Cricetulus griseus: one gene and its partner. The protein of the gene in region 1 purifies or fractionates together with the protein of each later gene. This does not show direct contact. Links are inferred from orthologs where the notes say so. Each region holds a gene or a part of one and is shown on either strand. Other genes may lie near its edges. The genes, in order: Phb and Vdac2.

Region 1 (4,513 bases):
GGAGGGTATCACTCCATGGGTTTTTTTCCAAGCTGGGTTCTCACTATGTAGCTCTGGCTGTCCTGGAACTCACTATGTAGACCAACCTAACCTCAAACTCTGCCTCTGCCTCAGAGTGCTGGTAAGGTAAACACCACTATGGCCAGTTTACCCAGCATCTTTCTAATAGCTGTTTCTCTAACTTTTGGAGGGGGTCCAACAACATGTCCTGTGGACTCAGAGAGAAATTTTAAAATGCTGACTAGTCTAGCTGTATAGATGAAGCTACACAAACTATGACATCAAGTTATAACTCATGAGCCAAGCAGATCCCTCCCTTTCGTCTTTGACTTTTTCAGACAAGGTCTCACTATGTAGCCCAGGTGGGCCTGGAACTCAAGATCCTTATACCTCAGCCTCACGAGTACTGGGGTCACAGGAGTCTGCCACCAGAACCTGGCTAAAGTAGCTACTTTGCCTCTTTTCATATTTGAATTGAGAATTGGCCTAAAAACTTACAGTCTGATAATAATACTCATTCAAAAGTCATATAGGCAGAAGCAAGAAGTTCAGGAGTTCAAGGACAAACGTGGCTACAGGAGACATAGTCTTAAAAAACAAATCAGCAGGATGCAGCTCTGAGTTGCTTAAGCCACTATACTGCATTTGAGCTGGGTACAGAGGAGCACACTTTTAATCCCAGCACTCAGGAGGCAGGGGCAGGTGGATCTCTGTGAGTTCTAGACCACCTTAATCTACATAGAGTTCCAGGCCAGTCAAGAGCTACATGGTAAGATTCTGTCTCAAAAAAAAAAAAAAGCAACAAACCATACAGAAAGTATATAAAATTTGTTGGAATTCTGAAAGAGTATCAAAGTTGGAGGGAATCTTAAGAGAACTAGTTCAGTCCCATTGTTTGACCAATGTAAAAGCAGAGGACTAGGAGGAGGGACTTGCCTATAAGGCAATATAATACAAAGAAAACCCAGTAATGCATCTCAAAAAATTACTTTCTCTGCAACTAGCTGAGCAAAACCTTCTTTCTCAGGACAAGGTCTCTCAAGCTGAGAGAATTTGCCAAATTATTTCACCCCACATGCAGCAGAAGATAACCAATGAGATCCTGCTGGGCTGCTCTGCAGAGGCATCTGGGTAACAGAGCATCACTTCAAACTGGCTAAAGTTCTAGAAACATCCAGCCAGCAACTGGACAGGAAGGCTCCTCTTGAGCAAAGGATCTAAGTCATCAGCTCTCAACCTGAGCCCTGGGGGGCGGGGTTGACTCTTTCACAGGGTTCACCCAAGACTATCAGAAAATACAGATTTTTACATATTCTGTTACACTATTAAGTAGTAGATTCATAATAGCCAAATTGCAGTTATGAAGTAGTAACAAATTTAATTTTATGGTTGGGGGTCATCACAACATGAGGAAAGCGTATTAAAGGGTCACAGCACTAGGAAGGTTGAGAACCACTGCCTACATGAAGGCCGGGCCTCTGATTACACACAACCATAGTTTGTGGGGTAACAGCAGGTGAGCCCACTTCACCACACACACCTTCAGACAGAGCTAGCCGTTAGGAATTTCAATTGGCTGTGCAGATCAACAGAAAGCACCACCCGCTCACCATTATATAAGGCAGAGTTCACCACGCCTCCTGCAACTGCTAAAGCCAGGCCGAACTTTCCGATGGACTCAAACACTTTGGCAGCCATAATTCCTTCTGTTGCACCCACTCACACCTAAACAAGGGGTAAAAATAAAACAACTTGACACGAAATCCTCGGAGAAAGCCCTCTCTGGGGCACAGCATTCACTTTTCACGATAAATCTTCATGGATCTACTCCTGTGAGCTCTAACTTAACTCACCGAACACCCCGTGACACTCAACATCTTGCAAATGTAGTATCTCGTTTGCTTTTGTAGGCGTCTGGGACACTTGGCTCATCGTAGGAACGATGTGTCGTACCCACAGAGAACTTAGTACCACAGTAAACCACACTCCCATTTCCTAGCCAAATAGGCCACAAGAGACTGTGTATGGCTGGCTCTGTGCATTTGGTTTTGGAAAAGCCAGTAATGTACTACAAGGGTTATGCCAACAACGAAAAGGACAATTCCTGTTAACATTTAAGTTAGGCAGCCTCCAACGGTTTTATTTAACCTTCAGTTTCTTTATGAAAAGCATTACTGGTGAGGTGCATGGAGAGGGTACACTATTCGTATGGAACCAGGGTTGGAATGAGGAGACTGAATTCTAGAAGGCATTGTAAAACTCCTCCCCATACCTGTTAATCGGAAAGCGGGAGCTGGCAGGGGTGCAGTGAGGCAGGGCAGCGAAGGCCTGGAGGTGGGGCTGCGGCGGCGGGTGGGTGGGTGGGAGCACGTAGCTGACAGACTAGAAACCACTCAGCCTTGAACTTTTTCATGCCCCGCCCCTGCGTCGCCCTCGGTGCACTCTTCAAATCCTCCCTCCCTTTCCCCAGAACTCAACTGAGAGTCTATCCCGTTTTCTCCGCGCACATTTACCCTCCACCCCTGACACTAAGACACCCAGTCCTTTCTATTTTCTACTGGCTTCTGGATTTTTCCTTATCCCGCCCCCTCCCCTTGCACAACCCATGGATCGTTCTGGACTCAGCCTTTCCCCCCTTCTCCGTTAGGCGTACCCTCACGTGCATTCCATGACCCCCACCGCACCCAGGAGAGCAAAGGAGGATTACAGGGACACACAAACAGCGGCCTGCACCACCCCTTCCACGCTCACCCGCTTTCACGCTGACCTCCACATGAATTCCCCAGACTCGCATACTGCGCGTGCGCCAGGCAGCTCCTCCCTTTCCCCCGCCCTCTTCAAGATCCGTCCCTTCAATTGGTGGAGCGGAGCGCAACGCATCCTGGGAAGCGTGGTTTGCAGTCTTCCGCGGGCCCTGTTGCTTTCCTGAGGTCAACTACAACTCCCAAAAGGTTATGCAGCAGCGGGCCTGAGCAGGAAACCTGCTTCCGTTTGGTGGCAACTGATGATGGGATGTTGCCGCAAAGCCTTTCGGGGGTTGCAGTTCCTTGGTAATAAGTGCACGTGCGTAGTTCGTAACGAGGTGATTGCTGTTAGAAGAGAGGTACGGGCTGGATCTGAGAGGAGCTGGGCTTCCACCTGGTGGCGGAAGTAACTGGGTGGGCGTTTTGGAAAAAGGTGAGGTGGGATAACTGATGGGCTGGGAAACTCCTAGGGAAGCTAAGGACGGCCTCAGGGGCGTGAGACTTGGATCTCCAGAACCGCTTCGGGACCTTAGAAACGGCTTAGAAAGAAGAGACTCATTCAGGTCTTGCACTACTCCAGCAAAAGGACTTGACTTAGGGTCTAACTCTCCTGTCTCCACCTTTTAAAAGTTGTACTTGAGAAATTGAAAGAATGGGACGGAGAACATGTACATGTATACCTATTAAGCTCACCTGTTGTCAAGACGCATTTGTTGTTACTTTTGTTGTCCCTCTCTCTTCCCAGCACTTTCTTCTCCCTGTGCTCCCCTCTTCTCTCTCCTACTGCTCTCTAAATACAAGGACACCCTCTTACTTGAGTAAATGTAATCCACGTCTGTACTCCGATTTTGTCAATTGAGCAAATAGCGACTTTTATAGAATTCCTCTCCACGCTTCGATAAAATCTGAAATGAAGTGCTGTGTTTATTTCCCATGGACATGTTGCTGTGTAAATACACAACTCTTAAGAGAATATGTGTATATACACACAAACATAAAAGACATGAAACAAGCTGGGCATGGTGGCATGTGCCTTTAATCCCAGCACTCAGGAGGCAGAGGCAGGCAGAAATGGAGGAGGATTATTTGGCTGGAAGGAAGAGACTGCATTACACCTATTCAATAAACACTCATTGAGTACTTACTGAAAACAAACGTCTTTCTAGCCCCATTTTTACATCTCCAATTGGAAATAGCAAAATGGAGTTTAAAAAAATACATTTATGGAGTTGGAGAGATGGCTCAGGGGTTAAGAGCACTGGCTGCTTTTCCAAAGCTCTTGGGTTCAATTCCCAGCACCTACATGGCAGCCCACAGCTGTCTATAACTCCAGTTTGGGGGGTCTAACGCCTTCTTTGGCCTCTGGAGGTACCAGGCACGTAAGTAGTACACAGACATGCATGCAAGCAAAACACCTATGTCCATAAAATAAAAATGCAGACATTGATTTATTGATTTGAGTGTGCATATGTGTGTGGCCACAGTGTACCTGTGGAGGTCAGAAGATAACCTACAGGAGTTGGTTCTCTCCTTCCACTGTGTGAGTTTTGGGGATCAAACCCAGGTTGACAGGCTTGACAGCAAATCTTACTGGCCCTAGTGTGATGTCTGGTCAGAGAAGTCAAGTAACATGCTATAGTCACACAGCTGACAAATAGCAGACGTGTTGACACTACAGACTGTAATTTTCCAAGCTGTGAGACTGCGTGGTCAGTAAGAAACAGCTTAGCAATGATTTGCACAGAGAAGGCAGCAATTGAATAAGCAAC
Region 2 (3,963 bases), on another chromosome or scaffold:
ATTCTCCTAGCTGTCCTCCAAAGCTTCCAACTGAACCGCAGTCTCTTACTCCACAAGTGTGACACTCTTGCCTCCCCTTCTCTCATCTGGGATTCTCCCTTTCACCTTACATATACCTCCTCGCCGTGGAAAGCTTGTGCTGTCCTACTTTTCCAACCACAATCACTGAAGAATGCAGACCGCCCAGGTGATGGCTACGGGGGTTGCCCCATGTCGAAGACCTCAGCTCAGCTTTCCAGTGTGTCTGGAAAGAGCAATGACTTCCTGCTGGTGCCCACTTACTCCTCTCTCTGCCCCTCTTGTTACTCCACTTTCTGTAGCTGTGGCTCAGAAGGGTGTGGCATGCTTGTTTAACCATTCAGCACCACTGCTGCATCATCCATGGGATTAACAGTGATTCACTGTAATTTTGCACAAACTTAGAAACTGAAGAGTGTTAAAGTATGTATCCTCTGATTTTATTGTAGTCTCAAAGACCTTGTGGAATTACGCTAAGGACACAGGAATTTGGTTGCACAGATTTAGGTAAAGAGCAAATGCTCACCAGAAGAAAGTATTTACCAAGGTTAGAACCTGGCTGGCCAATCTGTAACTGCACATACGTGGAGCCATTAGTTATGTACACTTGTTTTATTCATAATTTGTCATGTTTGGGATTACCAAAGTAATTCTAATGACGGCTGAATATAACAAAAAAAAATTTTTTTTACCTCATCTTAAAACATCCACTGATCCATCTCATTCAGTACAATAGTCAATGTTAAAAGAACATAAAACAAACATGCACACCATGGCACGGTTTTCATAAACGTCTATTTCATCATTGGTGGGTAGCACATTTAACAGTTAAATACATTTAAATAATGTATAGGTGGCTGCACCATAGCAGCACTGATAACTAGAAACCAGCCAACAGGAAACTGTCTAAATATTTAAAATACAGCTCTTGTTTAATCACCCTTTGATTTAATCACCTTCTGGGGGGAAGGGGGGAGCCTGCTGGTCACATGGAAATATATTAAGGCCAAATCTTCTGATATCCGTTCCCAGAGGTTTCTTTCAACTGGATTAAGCCTCCAGTTCCAAGGCAAGCCCAAGTTTGTGGCCTCCAGCATTAAAACTCTTCCCATCTACCAGAGCAGACAGTGTAAGCTTCACACCTGTAAACAAAGCAAACCATCATGATGAGCCTGACAACCACTCAACCTGCCCATCACTTCCTCAGCCCACTACCATAGTAATCCCAGCCAGCAAAAGGCACTGGATGAACTGTAATACTAGGAATTATGGGAATGTTCATTTTAGGCATAAAAAGGTTAGTAATAAATTCAAAGCATTCTAAGCCATAATCATGGTCACTATACTACCCAGACTAGACACCACTGAAAAGGCCAGATTGTAACTGAAGCCTGTTAGGTCTCAGGGGACCAGTGAGAAGTACACATTAGGTAGGTAAATAATGCTAATTAGGAAGGGTGTTCAGAACCAGGCGTTGGTGGTGCACACCCTTAATCCCAGCACTCGGGAGGCAGAGGCAGGTGGATCTCTGTGAGTTTGAGGCAGCCTGGTCTACAGAGTGAGTTCCAGGACAGGCTCCAAAGCCACAGAGAAACCCTGTCTCAAAAACCAAAAAAGGAAGGGTGTTCAGTTTGTTAGCAGTAACAGGCTCTCTAGTATTCACTTTCACTTTTAAATTTTAGGAAAGTTGGGCTACCATTGCTTGAGGACCTTGTTTGTCAACTGCCCTAAGCACTCCAGAACCCATTAGGAACACAGAGCTCTCCACCTCAGACCTACAGGGTGACAATCTGCATATGACCCAGAAGCTGCTCTGGAATCTCTTACCTGAACTCTGGTCCAAGACAGCATTTAGCCAGCAGTGGGGAGCTACAGTGTGTTAGACGGTAAGGAGTGGGGCTCTTTAGAGTGAGGGCGGCTGTGCTTATTCAGAGCAGCCTCCTCACTACAGGGTGAGGAGGGGCTCCTGATAAGCTATAACTTCCCAGGAAATGAGGACCAACAACACCACTACAGTCTCGAAAGGTTTACAAAATAATAAACTAAAGAAATTATCAATCTGAAAATACTGAAAAAATGGAGCTGGAGCTGGGCGGTGGTGGTGCATGCCTTTAATCCCAGCACTCAGGAGGCAGAGGCAGGCAGATCTCTGTGAGTTCAAGGCCAGCCTGGTCTGCAGAGCCATTTCCAGACAGGCTCCAAAGCTACAGAAAAAGCCTGTCTCGGAAAAAAAAAAAAGGGAGGGGGGCCTGGAGAGATGGCTCTGCAGTTAAGAGCACTGGGTGCTCTTCTAGAGGTCCTGGGTATAATTCCTACCACCCACATGGTGGCTATAGTCCCATGAAATCCAATGCCCTCTTCCAGTGTGCAGATACAGATATACAAGCAGACAAAACACCCATACACTTAAATGAATCTCTTTTAAAAGGGGATGGGAGGATATAAAAACAATTCCACTTTATCAACAATACTTACCAGGCCTCAGAGTCTGAGTATAGCCCACTCCAATTAAACTAGAGTTGTTGACCTTTGCCTAGAAAAAGAGAAAAACATTTCTGAAGGGAGACAAAACTCTTGGGTGTTACCCATCATGGAACTATAGCTATAGAGCCCAGGGCTTTATTTAACTCAATGGGATACTAAAACTTAATATCGTTATTAAGCAAACATCAAGTGTCACTTAAAAATTAGATGTTAACTCAAAATCAAATTGTATGTAGTGCCCTTTGTACACCCCTTTGGATACGTACAAAAAAAAAAAAAAAAAAAAAAAAAAAACCCTATTATTCAACAAAGTCACCTTTGTTGAGTCTAATCTAAGCACAAAGGCTAATATGTGGCTGATGACAACCAGCAGACCCACTAGAGGAACAGCCATCTTTGAAATGTGAGGAACTTATAAGCTCATGGCTTAGACCATATATCACTACTTCCAGGGTTCATCCTCAATTCTCCACAGCTTAACTCCTTCCTCACTCTTACCTTTAAGCTGCCGGATTTTGGTTGTAACTAGTCAGGGCCTGATAAAGCTCCATTGTTGCATGGTTTATCAATCTTAAGTGCCCTGACACTTTACATAACAGACCTTCAAAGGCTGACAGGAATGCCTGGGAGCAAGTATGTTAAGGAGCAGCTCCTTCTAGTGCCAGTCTCTACTACCCCAGCTAACATCTTCGCTAGGTCACCTAGATTAGCAGATTTCCAAGCCTTTTACATTGTATCCTAATGTTGTTACCCATGCAAATGTTGCATGATTTATAGCTATACAGGAAAACTTGCAGCCTGCAAGCTACAGAACAGATATGCCTGCAACTTACCCTCAACTCCAGAGCCTAGACAGGCAACTGGCTCTGCAGTACCCTAAGGGCTACAGTATAAAGCTAACATCTTGGGGTGAACACAACAGATCTGGAAACATTGACTCTATTCTTATAATGTGTAAGCATCAAAATACAACCAAGATAAAGCTGACACTTCTGGGCACTACTGCTCCACTTGGATGGGACATGCTGTCATGTTTCCACAATGACTGGCAGCAGTCACTCACTGACACCTAGGTCCCAAGTCACCTTCCCATGGAGACTAGTAGCTGAAAGGTGTTTCCACCACTGACATCCAATCTGTTATGGTGCCACAAGCATCATCTGAAGAGAACAGTGTGCTGCACGGAGTACTTTACTAGTGGTTAGACACAGCAGGGAGTCATTACTGTGTCACTGACTTGTCAAAGGAAGAAGCAATCTGAGTATTTTTCACTTGACACTATGTCTGATTATAAATGTTCTATCACAACGCAAAGATGAGAATAAACATACCTATTTAAGGTATCAAAACACTGTCCTTGAGGATCAAGAGTACTCTATGTAACAGAAGTAACTCTCCTGGACTGTTTAACTTCCTGTCACCCCCAGTACATATGGTACTGACAGTCCCTGACACACAGTA

The links.
Region 2: the proteins of Phb (region 1) and Vdac2 purify together in Homo sapiens (affinity purification with mass spectrometry; 4 studies listed by BioGRID, with this or other methods). This does not show direct contact. The link is inferred for Cricetulus griseus from reciprocal best matches to the Homo sapiens genes PHB1 and VDAC2.

The regions. Positions count from the first base shown.
Region 1 is NC_048600.1:108,826,341-108,830,853, reverse strand, and holds the start of Phb (prohibitin), read right to left. Parts: upstream 2,843-4,513; 5' UTR 2,752-2,842; exon of another isoform or gene 2,654-2,751; intron 2,347-2,653; exon of another isoform or gene 2,273-2,346; intron 1,726-2,272; 5' UTR 1,699-1,725; coding exon 1,611-1,698; intron 1-1,610.
Region 2 is NW_023276807.1:199,137,782-199,141,744, forward strand, and holds the end of Vdac2 (voltage-dependent anion-selective channel protein 2), read right to left. Parts: intron 2,552-3,963; coding exon 2,494-2,551; intron 1,161-2,493; coding exon 1,069-1,160; 3' UTR 616-1,068; downstream 1-615. UniProt on the Homo sapiens protein: Non-selective voltage-gated ion channel that mediates the transport of anions and cations through the mitochondrion outer membrane and plasma membrane.